Linked DNA regions of Cricetulus griseus. The protein of the gene in region 3 purifies or fractionates together with the protein of the main gene of each other region. This does not show direct contact. Links are inferred from orthologs where the notes say so. Each region holds a gene or a part of one and is shown on either strand. Other genes may lie near its edges. The genes, in order: Acvr1b, Tgfbr2 and Smad7.

What was found.
Region 1: the proteins of Smad7 (region 3) and Acvr1b purify together in Homo sapiens (affinity purification with western blotting; 3 studies listed by BioGRID and IntAct, with this or other methods). This does not show direct contact. The link is inferred for Cricetulus griseus from reciprocal best matches to the Homo sapiens genes SMAD7 and ACVR1B.
Region 2: the proteins of Smad7 (region 3) and Tgfbr2 purify together in Homo sapiens (affinity purification with western blotting; 3 studies listed by BioGRID). This does not show direct contact. The link is inferred for Cricetulus griseus from reciprocal best matches to the Homo sapiens genes SMAD7 and TGFBR2.

The regions. Positions count from the first base shown.
Region 1 is NC_048595.1:397,639,343-397,642,989, forward strand, and holds part of Acvr1b (activin receptor type-1B), read left to right. Parts: intron 1-2,451; coding exon 2,452-2,619; intron 2,620-3,497; coding exon 3,498-3,647. UniProt on the Homo sapiens protein: Transmembrane serine/threonine kinase activin type-1 receptor forming an activin receptor complex with activin receptor type-2 (ACVR2A or ACVR2B).
Region 2 is NC_048597.1:223,207,895-223,211,541, forward strand, and holds part of Tgfbr2 (TGF-beta receptor type-2), read right to left. Parts: coding exon 3,507-3,647; intron 1-3,506. UniProt on the Homo sapiens protein: Transmembrane serine/threonine kinase forming with the TGF-beta type I serine/threonine kinase receptor, TGFBR1, the non-promiscuous receptor for the TGF-beta cytokines TGFB1, TGFB2 and TGFB3.
Region 3 is NC_048595.1:164,565,386-164,569,132, reverse strand, and holds the start of Smad7 (mothers against decapentaplegic homolog 7), read left to right. Parts: upstream 1-977; 5' UTR 978-2,309; coding exon 2,310-2,925; intron 2,926-3,747. UniProt on the Homo sapiens protein: Antagonist of signaling by TGF-beta (transforming growth factor) type 1 receptor superfamily members; has been shown to inhibit TGF-beta (Transforming growth factor) and activin signaling by associating with their receptors thus preventing SMAD2 access.

The DNA.
Region 1 (3,647 bases), about 230 Mb from region 3:
TGCCCACGTGTGGTGGCTAGAAGTCAATGTCTTTGTCTTCCTGTATTGTTCTCTGCCCTATTTTTTGAGATAGTCTCTCACAAAACCCAAAGCTCACTGATTGGCTGGACTAGCTGCCAACAAGCCTGTGATCCTCCTATCTCCACCCCCAATTCAATGCTAGTGTTACAGGAACATGTATCATGCCTGTAAGGATTCAGGCATTATGCAGGCCTGCCCCTGTCACCTGGCAGAATGTACTCAGGCAGTACCCTGGTCAGCATGCAGGTGCAAAGGACCCCTTTAAAAGAAAGACCCTGCCTACTTATGCTGGCTCTCTTTCCTGCTGTTCCCCTGGGCAGACAGGACTTTTCCTGTCTCCCTCTTCTCTTCCGTTCTGTCTCTGTCTCTGTCTCTCTCTGTCTCTCTCTCTCTGTCTCTCTCTCTCTCCTCTCCCCCTGCCCCTTTCCCTTTCTAATAAAACTTCTCACTAAGCTCTGTCTGCCTGGCATGTTTGTACCCCACCTCGGTCACCCTCACCTGCCATGGAATCTGCCAAGGTTCCTCACACTTTATCATATCATAACAATGTCATATTTTTATATGAGTGGTGGGAATCCGAACTCAGGTCCTCAAGTTTGCACAACAAACACTTTAAGGAAACACTGAGAGGATTGTATTTGATACTGATCACAGAGGTAATAATTAGAACACTGTCCAAAAGAGATAAGAGGCCTCTACCAGTCTTCCAAATCATAAAAATGAAATACACAGAGCTCTCATGGGACAAGGGGACAGACACCTGGCAGGTAATATACCTGTGACACAGAAATTGTGAGGTAATTGGCCATGTTTTAGAAGTGTCTGGCATTTGAGACACAGCTCTTGCTCTGTGTCACAATGACTTTAGAGGCTAGTTGCCACCGAGCCTGTGGGAAATGCTCAGCTTTGGTTTTGCTAAGGCAACAACAGAGCTCATTCCTCATGATGCTGTGGGATTGGTGATGGCCCCAGCTGCCCCCAAGCTGAAGAGTTGTGGGTTCAAATATAGGGGAAGAAGGGAGTGTGTCAGCCCTCTGAGGAAGCAGCTCCACTTCCAAATGTCCTAGAATCGTTAGAAGGTGCAAACCATCTTCTTGTAACAAACCAGTGGGCCTTCAGGAAGTAGTTGCTAGTTAAGAGTGTGGCCTTTGTAGTCAGAGGTGACGAGGTGCAGACATTTCCAGCAGTTGTTGTCCATTGATTATTATGTGAATTGTGACCTCGGCTGGTGCCGCCACATTAGGGTCAGGAGGAGGGAAGTCAGGCTCCTTTGTTTTTGCCTTTTTACCATGATCTGTGTAGGGTGATGCCCTGGAACTAGCACCAGCCTAGAATTTGGAAGCTCTTAGTCAGTCCAATTTCTAATCTTCCCAGTGACAACAGCGTAGCCTCATTTGATTCCTGGCCCTTTTCTTCCCTCCCTTCCTCTGCCATCCACCTTCCTGCTGCCGCTTGTGGAGAAGAGAGAAAATGCAATGCATGCTGTCCACCTTGCATTGCTTCTCTGAAGGACAAGTTGGGCTTCCCGGGATACTTCAGAGTGGGCTATTCATGCATGGAAAAGCATGTTTGGTTCTGTAACAGTACAAAGGAGATCTTCCTGCTGTCACCGTGGCTCCTAGCCTGAGGATGGCCATAGGCTGCAAAGAAACATTTCCAGTGAGACGAGTGCTGGGCTGGGTTATAATCAAAAGGTCACACAGCATTCGGGGAGGGAAGAGGCCTTTGAGGTGTTACTTCTTGGCAGTGGTGCGAGTAGCCTTATGAGCCTCACATCAGGGTTGGAACCTGTTGCTTTCCCTAATCACAGATTGTTCTTTCCTGGATGCCCCACATTACAAATTTTGCAGTAAAATGTTATATTGTTTAGAATTGTCCCTGCTTCTTTTCAGTGTTCCCAGCTGTCCCAGTCACTTGTCTGTCTGTAGTTTCGATAAAACACTACAACCAAAGCAACTTAGAGAAGAGTTTCCTTTGTGCCCACTGTTCAGAGTTGAGTCCATGATGATGACGCAGGGGCAGCAGGCAGCAAGCTGCGAGCTCACAACTTGAACTACAAGCAGAAGGGTGGCTCAGGACTTTGAACGCCTCAAAGCCTGCCCCCAATGACATAACTTCCTCAAGCAAGGCCCCACCTCCTAGGCTTCCCTAACAGCCACCAACTGGGGGTCAAGCAGTCAGATGCCCAAGATTATTGGGGGACATCTCATTCATACAACCACACTTGGATAAGGGAACAGGCCTAAAAAAAGTCCCCTGTCTTCCCTGGAGGTTGCTATAGGGAATTGGGCTCAAGGGGCAGCCAGAAATATAGAGGCAAGAAATGTAAATTCAGGGTCTTCCTGAACCTGGCATTGTTTGTTTACATGACAGGCCCTCTTCCTTATTGCTTACTGTTCCTTCTGTTCAGACCTTCTTTGTTTTCTACAGACAATGGCACCTGGACCCAGCTGTGGCTTGTCTCTGACTATCACGAGCATGGTTCCCTGTTTGATTATCTGAACCGCTACACAGTGACCATTGAGGGGATGATTAAGCTGGCCCTGTCTGCAGCCAGTGGGTTGGCACATCTGCACATGGAGATTGTGGGCACTCAAGGTGGGTAGTGAACTCAGCTCAGGAGCAGGAAGCTTGAGACAAAAGGCCTGTCCATCGCCATTTGGTCCTCCTCACTGAGGTCACTGGAGTCAAACTTTGGGAATGGTACTTTCATCTGAGAAACAGAGTGCCAAACTATCTGAGCAGGAACAAAAGCCAAAGGGGGTTTCTCCATTGGCTCTGTCATTAACCCTCCCCTAGGGAAGGTGTGAGGTGAAGGCTTGGCTGCTGTTAATATGTGGCACAGTGTGGTTTAAACAGCATGCTGGGGTGCACTGTGAAGGAGTGGAACTAAGAAGAGGCCTGCGCATCAGAAGCAGGAGTGTAGTAATCTCGTGCTGAGGTTGGGCAGTGACAAGACACGGGGCCCACCTCTCTGCAGGTTTTCCTGGAGAGGACCCAGGCTTTATGCTACATGGTCCTGTCCACTCCAGATACTGGAATCTCCCTCTAGATACTGGGCTTGCCCCAGCAACTTGGTTGACCCTGGGCAGTGGCTCTTACTAGGTGAGGTAGGAAACTAGCGTGGCAGTCAGGCCCTAGTGTTACAGGACTAATGGCACTCCCAGTCTTCAGCGCCATCAGCTCTGTGCGCTGAGTTGTCCACCTGACCCATGTGGGCTCTTTGCGGCTGGTGAGCGGTAGTGGTTTAGTGTTCAGTAATAACCATGTCATTCTGAGGCATGTCAACTCCTTCTGGGAATGCTTTATCCTCCCCACATTCCCATGAAGTGCCATTATTCTAATGTCCAGCTGCTCGTGGGATCACTGGCTTGTGGGAGGCAGAGCCAGGACTTGGCCCACAGAGTCTGGCTCAGAATCTATGCATTTTCCATGTATGCATCAACCTTAAATGTACCTGGTTTTGTCCCTGCCAGGGAAGCCCGGAATTGCTCATCGAGACTTAAAGTCAAAGAACATCCTGGTGAAGAAGAATGGCATGTGTGCCATTGCAGACCTGGGCCTGGCTGTCCGTCATGATGCGGTTACTGACACCATTGACATTGCTCCAAATCAGAGGGTGGGAA
Region 2 (3,647 bases), on a different chromosome or scaffold from region 3:
AGGGCCCAGCCTATGGTGGGCAATGCCACATCTGGTGGATATATATATATATAATATATATATATATATATATATATATATATATATGAGCACACTTGGAGAACAAGCCAAACAGAAGCATTCCTTCATGGCTTCTGCCTCAGTTCCTGCCTTGGGTTCCTGCCATGAGTTCCTGCCCTGGCTTCACTCAGTGATGAATTAATGATGAGAAATATAAGCCAAATAAACCCTTTCCTCCCCAGTTTGCTTTGGATGGTCTTTGTCACAGCAATAGAAACCTAACTAGGACAGCTGTGTTATATAAAGATGCTCTCTGTGCAGTTTCTGGGGACTCTAGAGTGTTGACAATCATCCTGAGATGCCACTGTAGCACTAATTCAAAAGCATAGCATGGCCATGCAGAGATTAGGCCATGCAGCCCCCGAGCAAGCTTCCTGTGGAAATAAAGAAGCAGAAGGGACTGGCCCAGAGTGTGATTACTCCAGCCACTGATCTGAAAGGCACTGCAAGCCCTTTCACTGTTACTGAGCGGCTTCCTGCTGTGATCCCAAGTCAAAACAGGAACAACGTGCCTAATTTGTAATATTATCCAGCAATGTAGGTGCTGTGGTTAGCTTTGATTAGAAATCCTACACTCAGCATGTTCTCTTTGACTGGGGAAGGTATGTGGGGAGAAAAGAGAGACTGAAAGAGGCACATATTAAAACAAAGGGAGCCTTCCCAGTGTGCCTGTGGTTTGGGATCTACAAATCAGGATGTTGTTCTCAGGGCCTCTCCAGAGCTCAGCTGGAGAACCCAGATGCCAGGATATACCTGAAGCCAGATAGCACTCTTAAAATTCTAGCACCAGTGAAGCAATGGCAGATGGATCCCTGGGGCTCAGTGTGCAGTCCAACCTCCTTGGTGAGTTCTGGGCCATCAAGAGACCTGTTCTCAAAAACAAGGCTGGGCTGGGAGGTGGTTCAGTAGATAAAATGCATGCCGCACAAGCTTAAAGACCCCAGTTTAGATCATGAATACACTTGTAAAAGCTGGGAAGGTCTGATGCCCACCTATGGTACTGGCACTTGGGTGGTGGAGTAAGGGAATCAGGAGTTCAAGGTCATGTTCTGCTATATAGTGAATTCAAAACTAGCCTGGGGTACATAAGACTTTAGATAGGAAGGAAGAAAGGAAAAGGTAAGAAATGAACTAATGAAGTCAACAAAGAGAGGAGTAGACAGTGAACACCTTTGGGTCCTAGCAGTTCATACAGAGATTAGTAGGTGTCTTGCACGGGGCATGGAGAGATGCCTCAGGGGGTGAAATGCTTGCTGCATTCAAAGCATAAGGACCAGAGTTCAGATCCCCAAACACACACAAAGCCAGCTGGTACGGGTGTGGCAACCCTCTTGGAATCCCAGCACTCTGGAAGCAGAGACAGGAATCCTCAGAGTAAGATGGCTAACCAGGTGAGCCCAAACGTGAGTTCTGAGTTCAGGGAGAGTCTGCCTCAACATACCATGTAGAAATCGATAGAGAAAGACAATCAGTGTCAACCTTGGGCCTCTGCATGCATGTGCACACACATGTGTAGATATGCATAAACACATGCACACAGACACCGCATGTACACATACAACAAAAACGGAAAATGAAATAGATAAATGTCTTGCAAAGGTGGCATGCCATCTCCCAGTCACAAGGCAACTGCTCTTGAACACATTTTCTTTTCCTACACCTCAGACTGCATTGCAGTCCTGGCATCCACCACGTCTTGCCTGGTGGATGGCTGTCACCTGGTCATCATATGCTCCCTCTTCTACTTTGCACTCTGATTTTAGATGAGAACTGGGTAGGTTCTCAGGTCTTGCTGCTGAAGAGATCTTCAGAGACAGGAAGGGAGATGTGTTCAGGGACAGCTGTGAGGGCTGGGCAGTTTCAGGTGAGTGTCCCCTCTGCTTCTGACACTCTCTCATCCTCCTTTTCCTTGGCCAATGCAGGAGTCCCTGAAGCTACCAGGCATTGCACGAAACCTGTCTTCCTGGGTGCTGGCAGCATAAGCAGAGACATTTCCAGGCATGCCTAGCCTTTTGACATGCTGTCTTCTACAAAGCTCACGCTGGAGAACCACAAGATCAATCACACACAAAATAAAATAATAAACAAAACACACCCTACAAAGTTTCGAGTAAGTTCATGATCTTGCTTTGGTCTGCATTCATAGCTATCCTGCAGGCTGCCAGTTGAGAATGCTTCGATGGATTTCTGACTGGATGACAAGGTCTCTCTGTAATCTGTCCCTTTTGCTGAAGGGTCTGACATGCAGCAGGTAGACCTGTGAAAAAGACCTGCCAATATGCCTGTCTGTCCTGTCTGTCTGTCCATCTTATTGTTTGTCCATCCGTCCATCCATCCATCCATCCATCCATCCATCCATCCATCAATCTGTCTAGAGTTTGGGGCATCTGGAGATTGAATAACACAGTAACATCATGCACTCAGACACTGAGGGCACGCAGCACTCAGTTTTTAAAAGGATTTGTGTCATGGCTATCCATTTTAACAGGAAGTCAGAAAAGACAGGAAGAACAAAAGAACATTTTAAAAAGCAAAAATAAGAGTCCCAGCAGGAACATGAGCCAAGAGACATGAGGGAACTTATTGGGAGTTGCTGAGAGGTACTTCCTGGACGGTGGAGCTGCTGACCCATTGTACACATTCATCAGGCTCCAGCAGCCGGGCTTTCTAAAGTGTGTTTTATTTCACAGAAATAATATATGAATGAAAGGAATGTTTTGAAACATCTCGACATCAAGAGTAATCATGCCTGTAACCTTGGCACTCAGGGGGCTGAGGCAGGAGGATTCCAAATTTGCCGCCAGCCTGGGTTGTGCATAGTGAATTACAGGCTAACTTAAGCAGCATAGTGACTATCTAAAGATGAGCAAATAAATATACAGATTAATTAATTCATTAATTAAAAGTACCACCATAGCATATTTGGCTACACTCATTATGTATCCACAGTTCCACATAGAACAGTATCTTTGGCCAGCCAGCCCGACCTAATCATTCCCCAAGCAAGAGACCCTGCTTCAGAAAGCAAGGTGAATGGGGGCTGAGGAATAATACCTAAGGGTTGGCTTCTGGGCATCACATATGTGTGTGCATGCACGCATGGGGCACACCCATGCACACGCGTGCACACACACACTGTGCACATACTCACACAGAGAAAATAAATTTTAAATAATAATAATTCGCATTTCTAACAAATCCCCAGTTGTTGCTGCTACCTTGAGAATGGACCTGAGGAACCACTGCTCTGGGAGAAAGAAACTATTTGCCAATGCCAGATACCAAAAAGAACCCTAGGGAGTCAAATTTGTGGAGGGCCAGCATGGACTCCACTGCTTCCTGAGTACCTCTGTCTTCCAGAGGAGTGGACACATCTCCTCCCAGCGTGCACCAGCGCTCTGCGCGGCAGGCGTCCCTGGAGGACTGCAACCAGAGACGACACTCACCTTCTGAAAAGATGATGTGGTCATTGCACTCCTCCACGTTGCAGGCACACATGAAGAAAGTCTCACCGGCCCTCTTCTTTTCCTTCATGATACACTTGGGAGAAGTGGCGTCCTCCACGGTAAAGCCATGGTAGGTGAGCT
Region 3 (3,747 bases):
GGCCCAGTAGCGGGTGCCGGAGGTCTAAACGGCCGGGAGGAAACCTGCCGGCGGCGCACAGGCGAGCAGCACCCCTCCTCCCTCCAGGATGCTGCCCCTCGCTGCTCGTCAGCCTGCCAAATGCATTCCAGAGCTGTGCACAAGACACACTTCTCCAGGCAGTCCTAGAAACCCGAGCCCGGAGCGGGAGAGGGCGGGAGGGAGCACGGCGGCCGCTGAGGTCACATTCGCGCCGCCTCTCCGCCCTCGGCCGCCCGGCTGTTCCCTCTAGCGCACACTTCCTAGGGCCTCTGTCCTGGCCGGTGTAAATGTCTTTGAAACAGACAGCGTTCTCCTCCCCTTTCCAAGGGATCCGCCGCCAGGGCCTTAAAACAAATCGAATGAATGAATCGCCGGGGCGAGCTCCGCTGGTCTAAATCGGGCCACCGACCGACTCGCTCCTTTCCAAACTCGCCCGCTCCATGCCCCCAGCTCTTCCGATTTCTCCCCTGCTCCCGCTGGGTCTCCGTCGACCCCCGGGCTGTCTCGGCCTCCCACCTCCCTCCACCCATGCGTACCCCTCTGCAGACCTAAGAGAGGGTGGCGGTAACGGGGGGGGGGGGTTGAAATAGCTTTTAGAAACCCGATCTGTTGTTTGCGAAACACAATCGCTTTTTTTTTTTTTAAAGCGACAGGGTGTCTAGACGGCGTGAGGCCCCGGGCGACACTCGCTAGCAGATCGGCGCACAGAGGATCTTGTCCCCGAGCTGCGCCAGCAGAGCCAGCCGGGCGCCTCGCTCGGTCCGCTCGCCGCGCCGGAGAGAGCTGCCCGAGACGCAGCCAGCCAGCCGGCCGGCGCCACGCCGCCGAGCGCTCGGCCCCGGAGTCCCTGAGTGCGGCGCGGCGAGCCCCCAGCGGCGGCAGAAGGACTCGAGCGCCAGGAGAGGGCGGACGGGGGACGAGGAGGCTCCCGGGCGAGACGAGGAGAGTCTCGGAGGAAGAGGCAGCGAGAGGACACCCGGGCCTCCTGCCGCCACAGTCGGTTCGGGGCCAGTAGCTCCTTCGGGCAGCCTCTGCAGCCACCGGCGACCAGGGGAAGGGGCATCGGCGGCCCCCACACTAGTCTGCTGCTTGTGCCCTCGGGGGCGAGAGCTTGCGACCCGCCGGAGCCCGCCGCCGCGCCGCCCTCCCTTGCGCTGACAGCCCCCCGGGGCGCAGCCGCCGCCGCAGCATCTTCTGTCCCTGCTTCCCCAGAGCCGAGGAAGTCCCCGCCGAGGACCTGGGCCCCCGGGAGCGCAGGAGGAAAGACCAGAGACTCTGAAACACCCAGACACGCAAGATTGAAGCAGCCTAGCCAGACCCTTCTGTGGATTAAAAGAAATACGATTTTTTTTTTTGGCAGAAGAAAAGGAAAGGAAGACCCGCAGGGTTCTGCAAGGAAAAAAAAGGGGGGGATGTAACTCGTGGATACGTTTTTTCCCCACCCCTCCAACATCTTGTTCTACTTTGTAAACATTTTCTCTTCTAAACCCGGGCTCCATCCGGTGGCCCCCAGACCTCCGAGGTGCCAGGAGGTGTTGTGTGTGTTTTTTTTTTTTTTTCATTGGGGGCTTTGCATATTTGGTTTTGGGTTTTTTTTTTTTTTTTGAGAGACCCTACAGACGTCTCACGCGGGGTGAAGTCTACTCGGCCCCCTCCCTCTAGTCTTCGCGAGCACAGAATTCGAGGAGATCCGGTTACTAAGGATATAGAAGAAAAAAATAAATCGTGTGCCTGCTTTTTTTTTTTTAATTGCCTGCTTCTCCCCACCCCCAAATTAAGTTGCTTAGCAAGGGGGAAAGAGGCTTTTTCCTCCCTTCAGTAGCACAGCCTAACGCCTTTCGTTTTTTTGCCCCCGAGGATCTTCCATGTAGGAAGCCGAGGCTGGCGAGCCCGACACTCGGGAGCTACTGTAGGGGGGCCTCTTTTGGGGGAGGCGTCCACCGGGGCAGTCTCGGCCGCCCCCAGGGAAGCGGCGGCCGCGTTTCTCCGGGGCGCGCCGGGGCCCGAGAGCCGCGCAGGGCGCGGGCCGCGCCGGGTGGGGCAGCCGAAGCGCAGGCCCCGATCCCCGGCGGGCGCCCCCGGGCCCCGCGCGCGCCCCGGCCTCCGGGAGACTGGCGCATGCCACGGAGCGCCCATCGGGCCGCCGCCGCTCTTGCCCGGGCCCCTGCTGTTGCTGCTGTCGCCTGCGCCTGCTGCCACAACTCGGCGCCCGACTTCTTCATGGTGTGCGGAGGTCATGTTCGCTCCTTAGCCGGCAAACGACTTTTCTCCTCGCCTCCTCGCCCCGCATGTTCAGGACCAAACGATCTGCGCTCGTCCGGCGTCTCTGGAGGAGCCGTGCGCCAGGCGGCGAGGACGAGGAGGAGGGCGTGGGGGGTGGCGGCGGCGGCGGAGGCGAGCTGCGGGGAGAAGGGGCGACGGACGGCCGGGCTTATGGGGCTGGTGGCGGCGGCGCGGGCAGGGCTGGCTGCTGCCTGGGCAAGGCGGTCCGAGGTGCCAAAGGTCACCACCATCCCCATCCCCCAACCTCGGGTGCAGGGGCGGCCGGGGGCGCCGAGGCGGATCTGAAGGCGCTCACGCACTCGGTGCTCAAGAAACTCAAGGAGCGGCAGTTGGAGCTGCTGCTCCAGGCCGTGGAGTCCCGCGGCGGTACGCGCACCGCGTGCCTACTGCTGCCCGGCCGCCTGGACTGCAGGCTGGGCCCGGGGGCGCCCGCCAGCGCGCAGCCCGCGCAGCCGCCCTCGTCCTACTCGCTCCCCCTCCTGCTGTGCAAAGTGTTCAGGTGGCCGGATCTCAGGCATTCCTCGGAAGTCAAGAGGCTGTGTTGCTGTGAATCTTACGGGAAGATCAACCCCGAGCTGGTGTGCTGCAACCCCCATCACCTTAGTCGACTCTGCGAACTAGGTAAGAAGTTGTTCTGTGTCCACCTTTCGTTCCCTCCTGCGCGGAAGTGTTGGTAGAATTCCCAGGGTGTGTGTGCATCCCCCTTCTGGAGGAGAGGAGGGAAATAAAATCAGGGAAGGGACAAGGGGAAACTCGGACATTCTTTGGGGTTCCCTTTCATATTCTATCTCCCGCCTCCACCCTCTGGTGGAGGACCCATGGAGACTGTTTATGCTTATAGTGAACAGACATGCTGCAGAAAATGAGACACACTTATTTCCGGGTCAGCAAGGGAATTCAGAGCGAAGTGGGGATCACGCTTCCCCCGCACCCGGATAGGCGTTGAGGTGTGTGGCCGAGTTGGATTCTGTCCAAGCCCGCCAAGGAAGGTTGGGAGAAACTAGCTATAAAAGTTGGAAAGTCTCCTCTCCTTTAGTAAATAAGGACAGTCACGTGGGGCTCAAGTGGCCCAGATACTGCCCTGGCCTCTCAGCTTTGGAGTTTGGGGGCTGTGGTAGGATGGAGACCGAACTAGGTATCCACTGTTAGCTATGCCAGCCACAGGGTGAGAAGGAGCAAACAGCCTGGAGAAGTTGGGTCCCCTACTTTTACCTTTATTTCGCACCGAAAAGCATACCATTAGTGGTCCTTAGAACCCCAGCCCCCTGTGTCTCCCTTTTCTTAATTGCCCTGGAGCCTGGCCTTCATAGCTGGGACCCTGAGCAGGTTCCTATACCTATATTATCGTCCTAGCTCTTCCATGCCTTCTGTTTTCTCCACATCTTGGTGTTCAGGGTAGAGGGGCGTACCCTGCTTCCCTCAAGTCTTCCAAGTTCAGCAGCA